Arabidopsis thaliana: one gene and its partners. The protein of the gene in region 1 interacts with the protein of each later gene in a pairwise test. Each region holds a gene or a part of one and is shown on either strand. Other genes may lie near its edges.

Region 1 (6,984 bases):
TCTCATTTCGGTATCCATACTGAAAAGAAAGAAACAAACTTAGCAAATTCATCGGTTTTTCTATCATAGCGGATGACCGTAAAATATGTTAGTTGGTTTCGTGAAAAGTTGTTGAAAATACATCGAAAACATGATTCGCAATTGAACTAAGTGATTATAAGGTAAATTCTAGATGAAGATTGGTGACCCAACATCATTCGTAAGTGTCAAGCTCAAGCCACGGTTAAAATCTCCACTTTAAAGCAAAAACAATAAATGTTGAGAGAGACTCGTAAAAAAGTAAAAAATAAACAACTCAATGCAGTCACCTAACCTAATAATATATGCGACTGGTAAAACTAGGTTTGATTCCATTTTATTTTTTTCTTGTGGAATCTTAAAACATGAATGTGTTGCCCACCAAATCATATACACCGAGTCATATCGATCATCATGATAATAATCGCGAGACAACTACTTATAGTAACGTTTAACGACTTATTGAAAAAAGCATGCCCTACAACAACACCAAAAATGACTAGTTCTGCCTGCTTTGAAATCGTTGTTACTCTTCTATTCTTTTCATCTAAACCGCATCCTTTTTGGATTTTAGATAACAAAATCACCCAGAAATTTAGCACAACACACACAAAAAAATATGCAGACGACGAAGTAAAAGACGCATGAGAGCAACCTACACTCTAAATTTTATATCTCTGATACAGCCAAAAAAAAGGAGAGAGTGCACTCAGTACTACAGACTTCAGATAGATCGTTTTTTTTCTTTCTTTTTTTCTTTCTTTTTGTTTTCAACACGAAATACCAAAATCAGTAGGCGAATCTAAAAAAGAGAAGAAAATGGTTTCAGTGATTGGGTAAGGGAGAGTGGATAAAACCAGAGAGGGGTTCGTACACTTCCTTCACAAAAAAAAAAAACATCATCACCATCGGGTAGTAGTAGTTATTACTCTCGTCCTTTATTATGATATGGCATGTCCTGCAAAACACACACATACAGAGATGAGATTTCAGCATCCAAAAGTTTTAACTCTTCGACTATGTAAAAGAAAAATAAAAAAAGAACAAAAAGAGGGAATCTACTATTAGCAAAAATAATAACCTGCGGGTAAGGAGGAGGATGCATGTAATAAACTGGCCTAGGATGCTGCTGACCAGGTATCATTTGCTGCTGCTGCTGACCAGGTATCATTTGCTGCTGTGGGTACTACATCACAATTCCAATTCCAATCACCATTAGACTTTTGATGTTTTTTTTTTTTTTTTGTGTATGTGTGTGGGAATAGTAATTCAATAGGGCTTGTGTGTTACTGTCAAACCTGAGGTTGTCCATTTGGATGATAATAGGCTTGAGGATGATACATCATCTGTGGTTGGTTGCCAGGATATGGCGGGAGCTGCCAATTTTCACATGGTGAGTTTTGAAAACATAACTCGGTTGGGTTTATATAATATATAACAAACGGAACTTACTCCGTAATTAACAGGCGGCATTCCAGGCATCTGCTGAACAGGAACATGACTAGGACCAGGGTAGTAGAATGAGGCATCTGCGATTGGAGATTGAGGTGGTGCAGCAGCTGACTGCAATGGTTTGAAACTCTTAGCCTTTGGATTGAGTTTGAATTCCTGATCAGACCCAACGACCCATAATTAGTAAAAACACACACACAGTTAACACTTTATCAAGTTTGAACATCAAACAAAATACCTTTGCATTCGGATTCAGTGTGGACTTTTCTGATGAGGCCATAGAACCAATTGACGAGCTCGGTGATAGCCCAGGACGACTTGATGTTGAAGGACCTGGGCGACTTTCTGAACTTCTAGAAGCAGACTGCCCGAAAGAGCTTTCAGATTTTGTTTTACTAGAAACTTGACTGGCTTCTCTTTCTCTCTCAGTAACAGCCTTAGACACCGAGGATGCACCACCACCAGATTTTGCACCTTCTTTGATATCTACATTCCACAATACATATTTACATAAAGCCTACAACCAGTTTCCTAATTAGATGGACGTTTCATAACAGGTCACCACTCCTTGTGTAAAAAAGAACATTTCTAAATTCCATTTAGCAACCTTAACAGAATCCACCATAGATTGTCCATTGAGATAAACGTGATAATAAATTATAGCGTCAGATCAAGAAAAACTGGAGTCATGCTAGTAAAAATGAAAGGTAATTCATCGTATACAACAAGAAAACACGTATGTTAATAAAAATGAAAGTAGCGTATACCTCCATGACCAGAAGTTGATTCCTCAGCTGACTATGTTAATACAGAAGGAAGCCAAATAACCAATGTTAAAAATTATAGAACAACAATGAAACGCAAAATGCAATCATGATTAAACGGCATAATCAACATGGACTTGTCATTACTCTGTTATTGTGTGAAACCTCTTCGTTATTCTTTCTTCTTTGCTCATCTAGCTGGCTCTCACTATTATGCCAAGAGGAACTCCCAATGTGAGATATATTTTAGATGATTTTCCAGATGTGTAGCTTAATTGCAAGAAAAATAAGACCTGATATTGCTGCCTGCGGCAGGAAAATCTTTGGATTGCTGTTTAGAGGTTGAGCAGCTTTGATCTACATTTTTATTTTTCCGAGAAGACTGACTGTCACCCTGAAAGAAAATGAATAGCAACATCACCAACTCGTTCAGCTATTAACTACTATCAAAGACGAACTCACCGATACCCGTAATTCTTCACAGCCCTTGCCACTAGAAGCTGGCTTCTGGCCATCAGAAGTAGATGAGCCACCAAAAGTCAGATCGTTGCAAGTATCCAGCAATGCGTTGTCCTCCAAATCAAACCCACTATCACCAAATCCAGTGACTGGACGGACAGATGAGTATCTGGCTTCCTCGTCAAAATCAAAGTTCTCATTAAGCTGAAGGCCTCTTTCCTGCATGCATGAATAGTTACGAATTTAAACTTATAACACCAAAAAAACATAGGAATCAAGGTGAAATCAAACCCCCAAATTACCTCTGCTACATGAATATCTCGGGTAGTCTCAGCCTCGATCTCTCTCGCAATCTTCTGGGCATGCTCTTCCAACTGTTTAGTCTGAGGACCTCTCTCAAGTCTTGTGGTATAGAGGTCCTCGTCGAAAGTGCTTTTTACTCCAAACAGTGACTTATTCACCTCAAACTGATTCCATTTCCTACAAGCAGAAACGGATCAGCTGAGAGATATCAAGGACAGAAAAGACAGGTAACCACACAGCAAAGATTACTCATATATAAGAAACATAACTATCAAAACAATATTCTTCCTAATCTTTGAGACATTCACCATGGGCTGTTCCTCACAATATAATATATGCTTTCACTAAATAGTAGAATTCTAGCTTTAGATATAGAAAGAGAATTGCTTTCCAAAAGGAATATACGGAATTTCTAAAGTGCAAGCACAAACATAATCTATTCATTCCCACCATCTCTCATCTAAATTGGTCAGCTAAGAAACCGTGATCTGAAAATCTAGCTGACAAATCAACATACCAAACATTCAATAAGTATAAATTTGACAAAAAATTTAAATATATATGTGCGTGTGTGTGTGTGTGTGCGTATATTACCTATTCCAAGGGTTATCAAACACATTCTCCAAATCTGCACCGTGTGGAATAGTCTCATCAGGTACCCAGCGTTGCAGCTGCCTTTCCCGATCAACATGATAAGACTGTGATATAGAAGAGTCTGTCAACAGCTCCGATGGTTTCTCACCCTGAACCGCATTTGACATGTTGTTCGAGGATACAGAGAGATCCTAACACCAAAATCAATGATATAAAGTAATGACAATGTCAAAACTCAAAGTAGTCTCTCTGCAATATAACACATTGACATAAACTTAAAACAATAAATATTTCCCTTCAGTTTATAAAAGCAGGCACACCTTAGCTATAACTTGCACAAGTTCATCTGCCGGAATAATGAATGTCTTGGAAGGCGGCTTCCTGACAAATTCGGAACGGGATTTATGTCCTCGTAAAGTACCGTCTTTAATCAAGCATGCCATCTTTAGAATGATTCCTGGAAGTTTCAAGCAATTTTATACATTGCAAGAAAAAGTAGTGTGAATTTGTATGTGCAGCTCTATAAGGAAAAAAATTCTGATTCAGAGCCTCACCAAAATCCTTCTCTACATTGGCAGCATGAAATATACCGGTATACACTGATCCATTCCTTAGATGCACTTCCACATGATGCCCGATCTTACATGTTGTGAAGTACACTAACCGATCAAGTGAAAGCCTCTTCAAGCTTCCAGCTTCCCCATTGAATACTGAATACATATCAACATGCATGAGGACTCAGAATATGACGTTGCACATAAATCACAGAATATCAACAGCTAACCTGTATTTGATGTATTTGTCTTATGTAAAACTTCCTCTGTTTCACCTCTTTTGAGTGGAAATCCATTTGATGAAGATTTCGACTGAGGAATACTCATTGCAGCCTTAGACTGTTCTAACTAACAAGGGTAAAAAAAAACAGTTATTGAAACCCATGACATTCGTAATTGCTCAACTGACGCAGAAACTATAAATAGAAGGTTACCATTGAAACCGATGATTACTATCTAACAGCAAAATACAATCAGTGAACAGCCTCGCATCGCCATTACAGAAAAATAAACATAAAACAACACTTGCTTGGCTTCATTCATCAAACATGCCGATTAGTCTAGAAAACGTTGTGGATGAAAGAAAGAAAGATAGTGTTGATTTCAACCATTAATCCGCAGCACAAACAATTAAGAAATGGAAACAAAATCAAAGAGTTTTCAGCACAAACAGACGCAAAAAAAGGAAGGCATAACAGTGAATCAAAGATACAATCATCTGCAATCATGAAATAGGATCTCCAACGTATTCGAGCTAGAGCTAGGTATTCCAGTAAAACAAACCCTAAATCATCAAATTCCCAATAACGCGGAAGAATAAAGAAGCAATGAAGATAAACTAAAAATCCAGATATAAGAATCGAAGAAGAGGATATTTACCTCAGAAAGCTAACCCGATCAGAAACCAAAACGCCTCTGCAACACCGATTAAAGAAATGCTTCCGAAAGGAGAGGGACGAGCTCGATTAGTTTCCAACGCAGCGAGTTAGGGTTTCGGAGAGAGCTAGGGTTTACGAGGAGAGAGTGACGGTAAACGATTCACCATGAATCTAAAGAGCGAAAGATAATCGGAGAGAGTGATCGGAGCTGAGCTAACTCTTTGATTTTCCGCAGGAAGCAAAATCATGAAAGGAAAGAACAGCTAGCTACACGAAACAGATCGTTGTGTAGAGTACCAATCACCTACGGGCAAGTGCATGGTACAACTATATTTGGGCCTTAATGGGCTCAACATGGGCTATAAACTGAGTTTGAGAAACTTTATAGGCCTCAACTTTTGAATGTCAAGCTTTTATGTTTTCTTTTTCTGTCTTTTCTTTCTTTTCTTTGATCGATCATTTTACCTTAGCCATTAAGAACTTCTAAATCTTTTAACACACATAAAACATAAAGGATCAAGCCTTCGATTGTAATTTACCTTTATTTCATTTGTGGAAAGAAATCAGCAAGAATAAAGAGTTTTTGTAAAAGCAAGTAACCTGAAGCAAAGGATACTTCAAATTCGAAATGAACTTTTAAAAGGGTATGGTTTGCTTAATGATGGGGATAATGTTAACTTGACTTTCAAAATGGGTTATAATGAAAGTGCTTAAGCCTTGAAGGAGACAGAAAAGGTTGGGGGAAAAAGCATTAATAGGCTTAGTTGGAAAAACAACTCTATAAAGTTTAAATGATTATTTAATAATAACAAGCTTGAATCTAAATATTACATGCTTCATTTGCATGTCTCATCATCACTTGTTTTTATTTTTGATAAAATCACTTTATACCTTTTTTCAGTTTCTAAGGTGCAATATGCTATTTGTCACCATAAAGCTAGGCATAAATACTAATGATCATAATTGATCAAATTAAATATATAATCAGAAAAGCATCACTAGAAAAATACTCCAAAATTACTTAAACATGGATTAGTTGGAGAATTCTGAAATATTATTAAAATGATGAAATACAAAAAAACTGGTGTGGCCAATAAAAAGTATAAGAGTTACATGTATGAAACATTACACTTTTCAAAGTTGTACCTCTCTAATTAGCAATGGAACATACACTTTTTTTTTTTTTTTTTGACAACTTAGTGTCCAGACCACACAGTGATCTGACTAGTCCACTGGGTTTAAGCCCGCGACCAGGAATTTTTAAACATCTACTTAATGGCTCCCTGGAACTGGTGGTCTGAGGCGCTAGAGCAAATCCGCATGTTAATTCTCTGGTGACCAGAAATCGAATCCGGGTGTCGGACGTCTCAGTCGAGGTTCCTTTACCACCAGACCACGATACCTGGTTGGAACATACACTTGAAAAAGATAAGACAGAAATCTTAAGACTATACGAGTATTATGTTCAATTTAACATGGGGTGAAAGAGAGATCATCATAAAGTATTATTTGTAACGGATAGGTCATAGTTATAGCTATAAGATACGAGCTAACATTAAAATGGAAAGAGAAAGAACAATATCAAACAAGAAAACACAGATCATTCACGTGGTATGGTAAAAATTAAATTAATTTATATTTTGCAGTATCGGATCTGATCATTCATTGCTATAAAAACTGTTTTCTTTTGTCCTAATTTAAAAAAATGTTTCAGCTGTATTAGTGAAAAAAATAGAGAAAGCAAGCCAAAAAAAAAACTAAAAACATTAACTACGAATTGTAAAATAGTGTATGGTAAGAAACTCCACAGAGTGTAGTTAATTCTCGCCCGTTGCTTCACGGCGCTCCTGTGACCAAATCTGACATTATATAGACTCGTAAATATTCCTTTTTAGGTTTTTGCATTCATATTTGAATGCAGTTGATTTAAAATAATTTAAACGACTAGTTGCCTCTAAATGT
Region 2 (5,815 bases), on another chromosome or scaffold:
TACGGCTGTTTCCAACGATTCCCAAGATGCAAAGGAGATTGATCCTCTGCCACCAGGTTTGGTCTTCTTGAATGTAGGAGACAACGAAAGCTTTTTTACAAACAATTTGAAGATAGCGAGGGTTTTGATGTGAACTAGGATAGTTTTAACTACGTGTTATCTGTTGTTAACTTTGACTGGAAACCATCTATAGATGATAAACAGAGCAATGAAGAGCTGCTCAAATTCTCATAGAAACAGCCATCAAAGAACACGATGAAGAATATGGAACAAAACTCGAGTATGTCAATTGTCAAGTATGTGAATGCAAATATTACTACATGCATGGGTCTTATGAATTATGTAACACTTTCGGCTAGAGACCTTATCTCATCAAAACCAAGAGCTTAAACTTTACCAAGCAAAGGCCAAGTTTCGTGATGAGATATAGGTTGTTATGGTCAGGCCAAGGCCAATTCAGTAACTAAGTCGATAAGGTTATTCCAAGGCCCGTTTGATTTCTCCCAGTCTGTTTTCGGAAGCAAGAATAATTTCCTAGAAAAGCCCTGTAAACTTATTGTTACATTGATCATTCGAAGCTTTTAAACCAAATTTTATACCCAAAAGTCGAAACTCTAGACAAAAGCCAAACAATACCCTATCAAATGAGCAGTGTAGGTAAAAAAAGGTGAGAGTAACGATACAAAACTTCCCAAAGTATTAAGAAAATCAAAAACACAGAAGGAAAATGTTAAAACTCTCGCCCAAAACAAAAACTCAAAAATCCAAAACTTTCAAGAACAACTCTGTTTCTGATTCTCCAAAAGAACAAAATAAACACTTTTACAGTGTATATAAACTGAGCTCTTTCAGATATAACTTAGAACTCTCAAGGTACGATGTTGTCTCCAAGAGACAGAGAAGCTAACTGATCAGCTGCACCACCCGCTTGCTGCTGTGCTACACTCCTCAGAACATCCATTGCTTCTGTAACTTTAGCTTTAAGTGCCTCTGGTGATTCCAGCAAGTGAAGTACTTCGGTTTGGTCCATTTCAAGAAGCATTCCCGTGACTTTAGCTGCGGATTCTGGCTCCAGCTGCTCCACAAGCGGGTATAGATTCTCACCAAGCATCTGTATAACGAAGAAACATAACAGGTTTAAGAAAGACACATTTTTCTTAGTTGTTTCCGAGCTGTTAGAAACAAATCATTTGACTTTACCGTTCTCTGTTGCTCTGGAGCTGCATTCGCAAGCCGTGTAGCCAAAGCTACAATAGGAACAGGTTGAGAAGTAGGCGAGTCACGATGATGCACACCACCACCACTTGAGACGTCATATGGAACAGAAAGCATGTTTTGAGTAGGACCAGGCATTGTGTTTACATCTCGCTGAGGATACCGATACATTCGACCTCTTGGATGCATCTGTAGAGAAACAGATTGATGCAAAATGTAAGCATGCTATCGATTTTAAACATGTGGAGAAAGTCTTGGGCCTAAAGCAAAACTTAACCTGCTGCTGCATCATAGGAGAAGGTTGTTGTGGTTGTGGAAGAGCTCCTCTTCTACCACCACCAGGTCGCTGCTGCTGCTGTTGCTGCTGTTGCTGTTGCTGGCCTTGTTGCATCATAGGCATGAAGAAGTTTGGCATTGGAGACCCACCAGGTCTCATACCCGGTACAAGCTGTTGTTGATATCCGAATCCAGGCTGTTCGATACCCAGTTGGAGAAGAAAGTTATAAAGATTGGTCTCAAATGTTTTATGCTTAAAGCTTTGAGCTTTACCTGAGGAATCATAGCAGGAGGCCCTTGACCATAGAAGAGTTGCTGACCCATTGGTGGACCACCTGGTGGATACATTTGCATCCTAGGACCAACCGCAGGTGGCATATTGACCGGCCTCATCTGTGAAAATTGAGCCTAAAATGCCAGAGAGGTCAAATTAAGCACGATAAGCATGGGATTAGGATAATCCTTTTCAAGGATAACAACATGGGTAAATTAACCAGACCTGTAACCTAGCTTTGCGGTCTTCTTTCCGCTGCGCAAGAGCAACATATAGAGGTTTGGTAACGATCATTTTTCCATTCATCTCTGTAATCTGAAACATTGAAAAGAAGACAGTGTTAAGCATCAAGATCCTTCCAGAGAATAGGAGATCACCAAAATTTGACATGTCTTCTTTATATTCTAGTCACTTACAGCTCTAGTTGCTTCCTCAGGAGTTGAAAATGCGACAAATCCAGATCCTCTACTCACTCCACTGGGGTCACGCATCACCTGTCACGTTCAAATGTAATACATTTTAATGCAAATCTGCTGAAGATAGTAACAAGCAGCGCTTTTTATTGTATCAGTCACGGACCTTGCATGATGTAATAGTTCCAAAGGGAGCAAAATGTTCTCTGAGCTTATCATCTGTGACGCTCTCATCCAAGTTCTTAACATATAAGTTCGACCCCTGAGACTTGTCTGCAGCCTCCTTCAAACTTTGCTCAAACTTTTGTTTGAGTTCAGTTTCCCTCTCGGACTTCTTTTGGGCCTTCCCAACAAACCACTCCTTGTCGTCAAAGGTCTTTCCATTTAGAGCGTCAACAGCTCTGGCTGCATCATCAGAATTCTCAAAATTGACAAATCCAAAGCCTTTAGACTTTCCTTCACCATCTCTCATGATAACACAACTAGTAGTCACTCCGAACTCTCCAAAAACTTTGTTAAGCTCTTCATCACTCAAGGACTCGGAGAGATTTTTGACATAAACATTAGTGAACTTAACTTTCTCACCCGAAGGATCTCTCTGCAGCTTGTGAACAAAGGGTCCAACATAAACTTGCTTATCGTTAAGAAGCATTCCATTCAGTTTATCAATGGCTCCCTGAGCTGCTTCATCAGTGTCGTACTGCACAAACCCATAGCCTTTCGACTGACCAGAGGGATCAACGGCCACTTTGCAAGATAGAATGGGACCAAAGGCTGAAAATGTCTCGTGAAGTGCTTTGTGATCAATTGATTTGTCAAGATTCTGAGACACAGATAATAAACCATGTCAATAAACAAACAAACTTTGAGATAGGATATTAAACAAGCCAAGGTTTCTTTCCATCTCTGCATAGAAGTTCAAACTTGGACAATAGGAAAAAGAGATTTAATATATGTACCTTAATAAATATATTACCAACTCCGCTCTTACGGAGACTTGGATCACGAACAGAATACATAACTCTTATAGCCCTTCCATTAAGAGCCATGAAATTCAGCTCATTCAGTGCCCTGGAAGCTGTCACCAATCAGAAATATTAACATCAACATAACTCAAATCATTCATTTCTGTAAGAAGAATAACATTGAGTCTACTCATAACATTGAGGTCATAACTCTAACTCTATGACCTCAAAAGAAAACTATCCTCCCTAACAGCCAAATACCCTGAAAGCCCACAATGTTACCAAATGTAACCACTTTCCAAATTAACCTGAAAGCTTTCACCTTTTTTATAGAAAGCTCCCAAATTTAGATTAGCATTTGATATAACACATCAGTCCATACCCCAAATTCAGATGAGCTACAACGACTAAGTTACCAAATCAGATAAGCCTTAAGAAAGTTACCATCTTGAGGAGTTGCATAGTTAACGTAGCCATAGCCTAGAGATCTCCGAGTCGTCATGTCTCTGCAGACACGGACAGAAACCACCTGACCCGCTTGGGTAAACGCCTCAAACAGCTGTGAATCCGTCACGGTCGCATCCAGATCACCGACATATAAAGACGTCGTCCCTTGCTGCGCAGCTCCGGCAGCCGCCGCCGCAGCTCCAGCCGCAGCCGCCGCAGCTTCAGCCGCAGCAGCACCGGGAACAGCTACACCACCATTGGCATTTTGACCCTGATGCTGAATCTGAGCCATTTTTCGAGATATCAATCCGAATTACCTATCTATCTATCTTCTTCTCCTCTCCAAATCAGCTCAAATCAAAAGATAAAGCAGAGATTTTTAGGAGATGAATCCTCAACGCCGGAGAATAAAAATTGAGTCTTTGAATCGGAAGAAGGAAGGAAAATGGGGAAGTAACCGACGGCGAGAGTTGCAGCGTTGAGCTTAGATAAAAGGGTCAGAGGAAGTGACCTTATCAGAGAGAAGCTCAAATGAAAAAAAACTGCAAAGAGGAAAGACAACTTGGAGGTTTCAGTGTTTATATATGGAAGGTTTCACCAAACCCTAAAAGCTTTGATGGTAATTTGAGAAATCTCAGCCGTTGGATTTACACTGTAGTGTGTCTTGTTGTGGGTCACACACTTGTATAAAATATGCGTTGGGAAATATCTTACCATTTTATTTTATTTTATTGGGCAAAAGTATTTGTGCTCAAAAATATATAACCGTATTCAGACTAATGAGGAGTAATTACTAATGAGATTAGAAAAACAAGAATCAGTGTAAGTGTAGTGATGTTTTATTTAAGAAAATTTGTTAAAATTATTAGTATGTACTGTAGTAAATTTTCTGCAAGGTAAATTAGAAAGTGAAGTGATTTTTGTATAAAAAGGATAAAATATGAAATAGCTGTAGTAACTGTCAAAAAAAAATATGTTCGTTCAGACATATTTAATTATTATTAGTAAATACCATTGAATGACCATGCAAATTTATGAAAATAGCTAAGAAGTTGTAAAGTTTTTGATTAATTTGCAAAAAATATAAAATGGTGCTCTTTTTCTAAAAGAACACATAAAATTTTAAATAACATGCAGTTATCTAACAATTTGGTTATCTATCTCTCCACATACATGTGAATATGTGATGTAATGCATGAAACTAAAAACATGGGGGACTTTTTAAAAAACCTTTTCTAGCTTGCGTTATGAGAAAAGTTTTAAGAAGTTTCGAAATCGTTATGTTGCAACTTCATACCTCAGTCAAGGATAATAGAGGCTAAAGATAGTAGATAATTAAAAATGGGCCAACAAATCTTGTGAACCAGTTTCTTGATGTCTTGGAAAATTATGGACCGAAATTCTAGCCTGTATTGGGCCCAATCTTGCATAATTTAAAATTAGTCGATCGAACATAACTCTTTTTGCCTTTCTAACTGTTTTTAGTATCTCTTCAGCGTGAAATGTGTAATAACAATATCATCTCTTCTATTTTCAGTCAGAAGAAATTGAAACATGGTATACCGAAATCAGTTTATGCTAATTCAGAAGGTAAATTTTTTTAACAGATTGGTAACGACCGTTATTTTTGGCTTTAGAAGGTTTGACTTTAAAAATTTGAGGTACAAAGAATTTAGCTGTAAAGACTTTGGCTGTTAAAATCAGATTGGTAAAACAAAGTTGTAGAAGCTGTGACTGTTATTTTTTATTAGTAACAATAAAACTTTATTACTGATTTTTAAAAATATATATTATTCATTCATTTTTAAAAGACCAAACATTGCATTATTTATATTTATTGTTTCATGCACTTAATATCCAAACACTTAATATCCAAACACATTAATAATTAAAATACTCATCTTGAATGATTCTTATGGCTAAATTTTTTTCTCAAAACTGTTTTGAATGATTTTTTTGACTTATCATAAAATCAACAAATTTATTAATGATAATGAAATGACATCTAACTTTATTAGTGTTGATGATAAAAAATAAAATTATTATTAGTGAAATGGATCTTAAAAAAAAATTAGTAACTTGATAATAATTATTAATCAAAAACGTTTTGAAAAAAGAAATATGTAATTTGTAGAGAACTTTTAATTATGTTTAGAGAAGAAAACGAAAAGCTTTTAATTTGTTTTAAAAGCCTCATTTACGTGACTTTCAAAAAGAAAAATAAA
Region 3 (6,070 bases), on another chromosome or scaffold:
AGGCAAAGGGTCGGCTCTTGTAGCTCCAATGAGAAGGGTCAGACACATTTTGGACGGTGACATGTATCAACCCCACTCACTCTCTTCTTTATTCACTCATTTTTTTTGTTAGTCTTCTTGTGTGCTAATGTATGGTCAATTTGAAATTAGCACTGATGTTGACTTTTTAAAATATTTTCATATGAACGAGCTGGTTCATGTACCATGCCAACATATGTTTTTCAAATAAATTAATCGAATTAGATTCTTGTTGTGACTGAGAGTATTTTCGATCAACATAAACCATTCAAATTAACGTCATATCAAACACTATTATGAAATGAGTGGTACAATCATTGAATCGCTTGCTTCCAACCCCTCAAAAAGAAAAAGTCTGTGTGCATATAATTGATATCAACTACAAGTTGAAATACAAACCACAAATTATGAGTAGACACATTCGAATAAATTCATAATAGAAGGCTGCTACCATAATAGAAGGATTGTCCCTTGTTGCTGACCATGAATACCGAACAACTTAAATTTCAAGTAGAGATGGATTATTTGGGGATTCGGAAGAAGAAGTCTACTCAGATTATTAAGAAATCATCATTGTCCAAAGAAAAAGAAAAACACCATAAACTAAGTTAAAGACACAAAAACCATAAACTAAGTAAACAAAAAAAAACTGCTAAAATAGTAAAGGAAGACTAAAACCCAAAAAAGAAAAGAAAAGGAGTCGATATCAAAACTAAAAGAAGAAAACAGAGTTGAGCAAACGCATTGCAAATTTCAGTCGGTGGTAGAGAAACCAAGATCATGATCAGTTGGATCAACAGATAGCCTGAGAACATCCAAAGCCTCGGATACTTTAGACTTGAGTGCCTCTGGTGACTCCATCAGGTGCAAGATCTCAGCTTGATCCATCTCCAACAACATTCCTGTGACTTTAGCCACGTGAAGTGGTTCGTGCCTTTCCACAAGTGGGTACAGTTGTTCTCCAAGCATCTGTTCCCAACCAATTTTTTAAAAATAAAAATCAGTAAACATATAAATATATAGATATGCCAATCTCTATCAACTATATATTTATGTGACTTTAACTTTTATTTATTTGTTATAAGACCATAATTCTTTCAAACATTTGATGTTAAGAAACAAAATTCACCAAAACATTTTTCAGTTATTCAGGAAATATTTTGTAAGATAAAATGCAAATGTGACTGACCTCTCTTTGCGTTTGGTTTTGCATCAACAATTGAAAACATATGTTTAGAGTTAAGGGTTTATTATTCAAAAGTTATACACCAAATGCAAAAGAAAACGCAAAACAAAGAAATGTTTAGCTGAGATGGAAGGAAAAGAGGCAAACCCGAGTGCGATCAGCTGGACTAGCAGAAGCTAAGGAAGAAGTGAGCTTAGAGATTGGAAGGAGAGGAGCTTTCTGGTGAGAGATCGAAGAAGCATCTATTGGCAAAGGAATGATAGGAGGTAAGATTCCTTGAGGAACACTCGAATCCATTCCGTTCCTCCCGTTACTCGCACCGTTCATATATCTCATTCCCGGGGACGGGTTACGGTGCATAAGCTGTCAATATTCAATCCAACTCAGTTTCATGATTGTTGAAAACTATAAACAGACTCAGTTTAGTAACATACTTGTTGTTGTTGGATGTGTTGTTGCACGTTAGTAGCACCACGCCTGAATCCCATACGAGGACCGGTCTGAGGTTGTCTTTGAAGCGGATAAGGCACGATGAAGTTGCCCGGGCCAGAACCTGGACGCATCCCGGGCATGAACTGAGGCTGGAATCCATATCCAATGGGCTGGGACGGGACCATACTTGCTCCGTTTTGGCCTACGTACATGTGTTGAGGTGGACCGGGCATTGGTCCACCTGGCGGGTGATGGAACCCTGACATTGGCCCTGGTGCTCTAATCTGTGAAAACAACGCCTGAAAAAATTGCAAACTTATGTACTTAGTCACACATATAGCTTTAACAAACCCATTTCTTTTAAATATGTTAAAAGAGTTTTTAAAAAACCTGTAAGTGTGCTCGTCTATCTTCTTTGCGCTGCGCAAGAGCTATGTATAGAGGTTTTCTTCCGATCATCTTCCCATTCATTTCACTCAGCTGCATTGTCTCATATGTAACAATCTCTCAGATATCAAAAGAGACGAACAATAAAAGAAGAATATATTATAGTTTTAGTAACTCACGGCTCTTAAAGCTTCTTCAGGATTGGAATAAGCAACAAAACCAAATCCTCTGCTCATTCCTTGTGGATTAAGCATAACCTACATTAGTTAAAGGATTGTGTCAAAGACAACGTAACATCAACAACATATATATTTATGAATATATGTATGAGTTTTTAATTAATTATTACCTTGGAGGATGTCACATTTCCATACTCAGAGAACATCTCCTTGAGTTTCTCATCATCAACACTATCATCAAGATTCTTCAAATACAGGTTCGCTCCTTGAGATTTCTCAAACCGGTTTATCCTCTCTTGCTCAAACTTCCTTCTTAGCTCTTCCTCTCTCTCAGACTTCTTTTGCGCCCTCCCAACGTACAACACATCATCCCCTAAGCTAATTCCATTCATCTTCTCAACCGCCGAAGCCGCTGCTTCAGTGCACTCAAAATTCACAAACCCGAAACACCTCGAGTTTCCGCTCTGGTCCCTCATTACAACTGCGCTCGATATCACTCCAAATTTACCAAACGTTTTTCGTAGCTCGTCCTCACCAATCTCCTTGGGGAGATTCTTGACGTACACGTTAGTGAAACGCGGTGTAGGGGTGTTTTCATCACGAGCACGCTCTTGACGTCTGATGAAGTGTCCCACAAAAACTTGCTTGTCGTTCATTAACATTCCGTTTAGCTTGTCAATTGCGGCTTGAGCCGATTCCTCCTTCTCGAACTGGACAAATCCATACCCCTTGGACCGGCCAGTCACGTCCATTGCAACTTTGCATGAGAGGATGGTTCCAAAACTTGAAAACGTCTCGAACAAGGCCTTGTTGTCGATTGAAGCGTCAAGGTTTTTGATGAAAATGTTTCCTTTGCCGCTCAATCGCGTGCTTGGGTCACGGTTCGAAAGCATGATCCGAATGGGCCTATCAAAGAGGGGAGTGTAGTTCAAGGCCTCCATTGCACGGTAAGCTGCAAACATAAATCAACATATAAACATAGGCAAATAAGATCTCAATTCATTATAGAAAACCAGCATCTATGATATTTATAAATGCACAAATACCTATAGTTTCTACAATTAATGAGATTGAAAGAACAATTTCAAACAAATTTCACGTATTAAATTGAACTAATTAAGAAAAATCATAATATAAGAGACTGATGCATCAACTACTAAAATAAATGTTGTAGCTTTGATATTCAAACGAAACATATCAATGTAGCAGAATCATGGTATAGTAGAGATGAACTACAATATAGAATATTGATTATATGTTAATTTCTAGACAAAAAAAAAGATGATTCGCACAGGAACATGATACTGATCAAAATTAATTACCATGTCTAATAAAAAATTGAGATTGAAAAAAATCAAATCAAAACACTTTTTCTTATTGTAATGCAATTCATGATAATATATATATTTTGTTTTGCAAGACATGAACCCTAACTTGCAATTGAAGCGATATAGAATTGTATTTACCATCGTTAGGGTTACTGAAATTGATGTAGGCATATCCCAAAGATCGACGATTCTGATCGCGGCAAACTCTTACCGAGACGACATTAGCAACATGTTTGAACAAATCAAATAGATGTGCTTCAGTAACTTTCGGGTCCAGATCACCGGCATAGAGCGACGAGTTCGGGTGGGTTTGATCGGCTACCACGACCGGGGATGGAAGAGGTATTGAAACCGGAACCTGAACCGAAGTCTGCGCCGTCGGACTGGGAACTTGATCAACCATTGTCGCCGGTGCAACACCTGTGGCAACCGCCGCCGCCATGATTATGAGTTTACTTTTTACAAGACGATTTGTTATTTTCGTCTCGTGAAAGGAAACAAAATCACTGATTCTAAAAAAACAAAGATTCGATGATTTGTTTCTGTAAGGGTTTTAAGTGAGAAAGAGATTTTCTGTAAACAACATGACTCGAGGATTTGTTTCTTCACAATTTTTGATTTATTTATTTTTTAGGAATTTTATTCTTATTTAGATTTTTTTTTTTCCTTTTTTAGTTTCCTCCGATTATCAAGAAGAGTAAAGAGGGATAAAATTGAATTAGTGTGATGAGTGTGGATGCATATTTATACATAACTAGCTAAGCCTATAAAACCGAGCAATTAACAATTTAGTATAAATAAAATGTCACTTGATTTTACTATTAATAGCTAATTGAATATTTCATGAATCTTTGATAATAAGAATTGGTCGCAGTTTTAAATTATGTTTGCCTTTATTTCTTTTTTTATTACATGAGGTTTTATTTTAGTTACACTTATCGAGCATGTGCTAATTTTGTTTTCTATATCGAAAGCAACATTAAATTTATTTATTCATAAAAAAATGCATGCTTCTAAGGCTTATAAGCACACAAATCTAATTAATTTCTAATAATATAACTAATGAGGTCTTAAGAGCTAAAATTTAATAAATTGATTTAACATTTACTTTGGATAAAAATTGTGATTTTTTATTTATGTTTTTGATTAGAGTAAAGACGAACAACTAATTTTTCAGAGCAAAATTTGCGGCTATTGATTTGGTCATTACTAAGATATCAATCTTATTACTATAAATAGACACATGAAACTATTTTTAGATTCTTTTGACCAGATATTAGATTATGAATTTATGATAAATAAATTGGTAATTTTTTAGTTAGTTGAAATTAAATCAGTTGTATTGTTGATGATGTAAATAGGTTTAGTAATGCTACGAAGTAACTTATTAAAAATCATGGATAATGGAATCTTTTATTTATTTCAATAGACTACAAACCCCTTTAAATATCATACACATATATTGATACACATATATAGATTCAAGTTTTTTATTAGGGATAAAATTGAATTAGTGTGAAGAGTGTGGATTAATATTTATACTTAACTAGCTAAGCCTATAAATCCGAACAATTAACAATTTAGTATAGGGAAAGTGTCACTTGATTTTTACTATTAATAGCTAATTGGTGTTTCATAAATCTTTGATAATAAGAATTGGTCGCAGTTTTGAATTATGTTTGCCTTTATCGCTTCTGTTTTTTACATAAGATTTTATTTTAGTTACACATATCAAGAATTTGCTAATTTCATTTTCTATACCGAAATCAATACTAAATTTATTTATTCATAAAAAATGCATGCTTCTAAGGCTTTTAGGCACACAAATCTAATTATTTTCTAATAGTGTAACCACTGAAGTCTTAGGAGGTAAAATTTAATAAATTTATTTAACATTTACTTAGAATAGAAATTGTAATTGTTTTTTTTTTTTTATGTTTTTGATTGGAGTAAAAGATGAACAGCTAATTTTTGGGAGCATAACTTGCGGCTATTGATTTGGTCATGACTAAGATATCAATTTTATTACTGTAAACAGAAACATGAAACTATTTTTATGAAACTATTTTTAGATTCTTTTGACCAGAATTTGGATTATGATAAATGGATTGATGATTTTTAGTTAATTTACCCATGCCAATTATACTATAGTATCCTCAACTATGCCGGTCAACACTGGTCTTCAACGGAGTAAATTTATTAGTGTACCGGAATTGCATGTCTGTGGTGTTAACTACATGACGTCGTATAGTTCAGATATGTGGTCATACAATACATCTACTTCGTATAGCTAGGGATACACTAATATGCTTGACATGTGTGATCATGCATTCTCCGATATTTTGTGTAGCTAGTTATTTTTCTTCTACTATAAATAGAGATATTAAACTATTTTGGATTCTTTGACCGGATCACATGGATTACAATAAACCATTTTGAAATCTTTAAATAGTTGACTAAAAGAAAATTTACTATAGGGATATTGTTAAGATGTTCTCTATTTTCAATTGTATATAAGTTGTGAAATGTAATCTTTTTAA

The links. The genes of interacting proteins can lie anywhere in the genome.
Region 2: the proteins of CID4 (region 1) and PAB8 interact in a two-hybrid assay, tested with the Arabidopsis thaliana proteins (one large-scale study listed by BioGRID).
Region 3: the proteins of CID4 (region 1) and PAB3 interact in a two-hybrid assay, tested with the Arabidopsis thaliana proteins (one large-scale study listed by BioGRID).

What each region holds. Positions count from the first base shown.
Region 1 is NC_003074.8:4,634,651-4,641,634, reverse strand, and holds CID4 (CTC-interacting domain 4), read right to left. Parts: upstream 5,344-6,984; 5' UTR 4,582-5,343; coding exon 4,579-4,581; intron 4,493-4,578; coding exon 4,375-4,492; intron 4,301-4,374; coding exon 4,145-4,300; intron 4,048-4,144; coding exon 3,911-4,047; intron 3,782-3,910; coding exon 3,591-3,781; intron 3,174-3,590; coding exon 2,996-3,173; intron 2,913-2,995; coding exon 2,697-2,912; intron 2,629-2,696; coding exon 2,528-2,628; intron 2,443-2,527; coding exon 2,382-2,442; intron 2,269-2,381; coding exon 2,238-2,268; intron 1,957-2,237; coding exon 1,709-1,956; intron 1,627-1,708; coding exon 1,471-1,626; intron 1,395-1,470; coding exon 1,317-1,394; coding exon of another isoform or gene 1,311-1,316; exon of another isoform or gene 1,238-1,310; intron 1,205-1,237; coding exon 1,100-1,204; intron 977-1,099; coding exon 944-976; 3' UTR 509-943; downstream 1-508.
Region 2 is NC_003070.9:18,414,807-18,420,621, reverse strand, and holds PAB8 (poly(A) binding protein 8), read right to left. Parts: upstream 4,148-5,815; 5' UTR 3,883-4,147; coding exon 3,588-3,882; intron 3,257-3,587; coding exon 3,138-3,256; intron 3,002-3,137; coding exon 2,345-3,001; intron 2,260-2,344; coding exon 2,182-2,259; intron 2,081-2,181; coding exon 1,991-2,080; intron 1,900-1,990; coding exon 1,765-1,899; intron 1,688-1,764; coding exon 1,493-1,687; intron 1,405-1,492; coding exon 1,201-1,404; intron 1,112-1,200; coding exon 869-1,111; 3' UTR 511-868; downstream 1-510. UniProt on the Arabidopsis thaliana protein: Binds the poly(A) tail of mRNA. Appears to be an important mediator of the multiple roles of the poly(A) tail in mRNA biogenesis, stability and translation.
Region 3 is NC_003070.9:8,053,501-8,059,570, reverse strand, and holds PAB3 (poly(A) binding protein 3), read right to left. Parts: upstream 4,247-6,070; 5' UTR 3,973-4,246; coding exon 3,669-3,972; intron 3,155-3,668; coding exon 2,373-3,154; intron 2,281-2,372; coding exon 2,203-2,280; intron 2,117-2,202; coding exon 2,027-2,116; intron 1,936-2,026; coding exon 1,639-1,935; intron 1,568-1,638; coding exon 1,352-1,567; intron 988-1,351; coding exon 772-987; 3' UTR 511-771; downstream 1-510. UniProt on the Arabidopsis thaliana protein: Binds the poly(A) tail of mRNA. Appears to be an important mediator of the multiple roles of the poly(A) tail in mRNA biogenesis, stability and translation. In the cytoplasm, affects both translation and mRNA decay.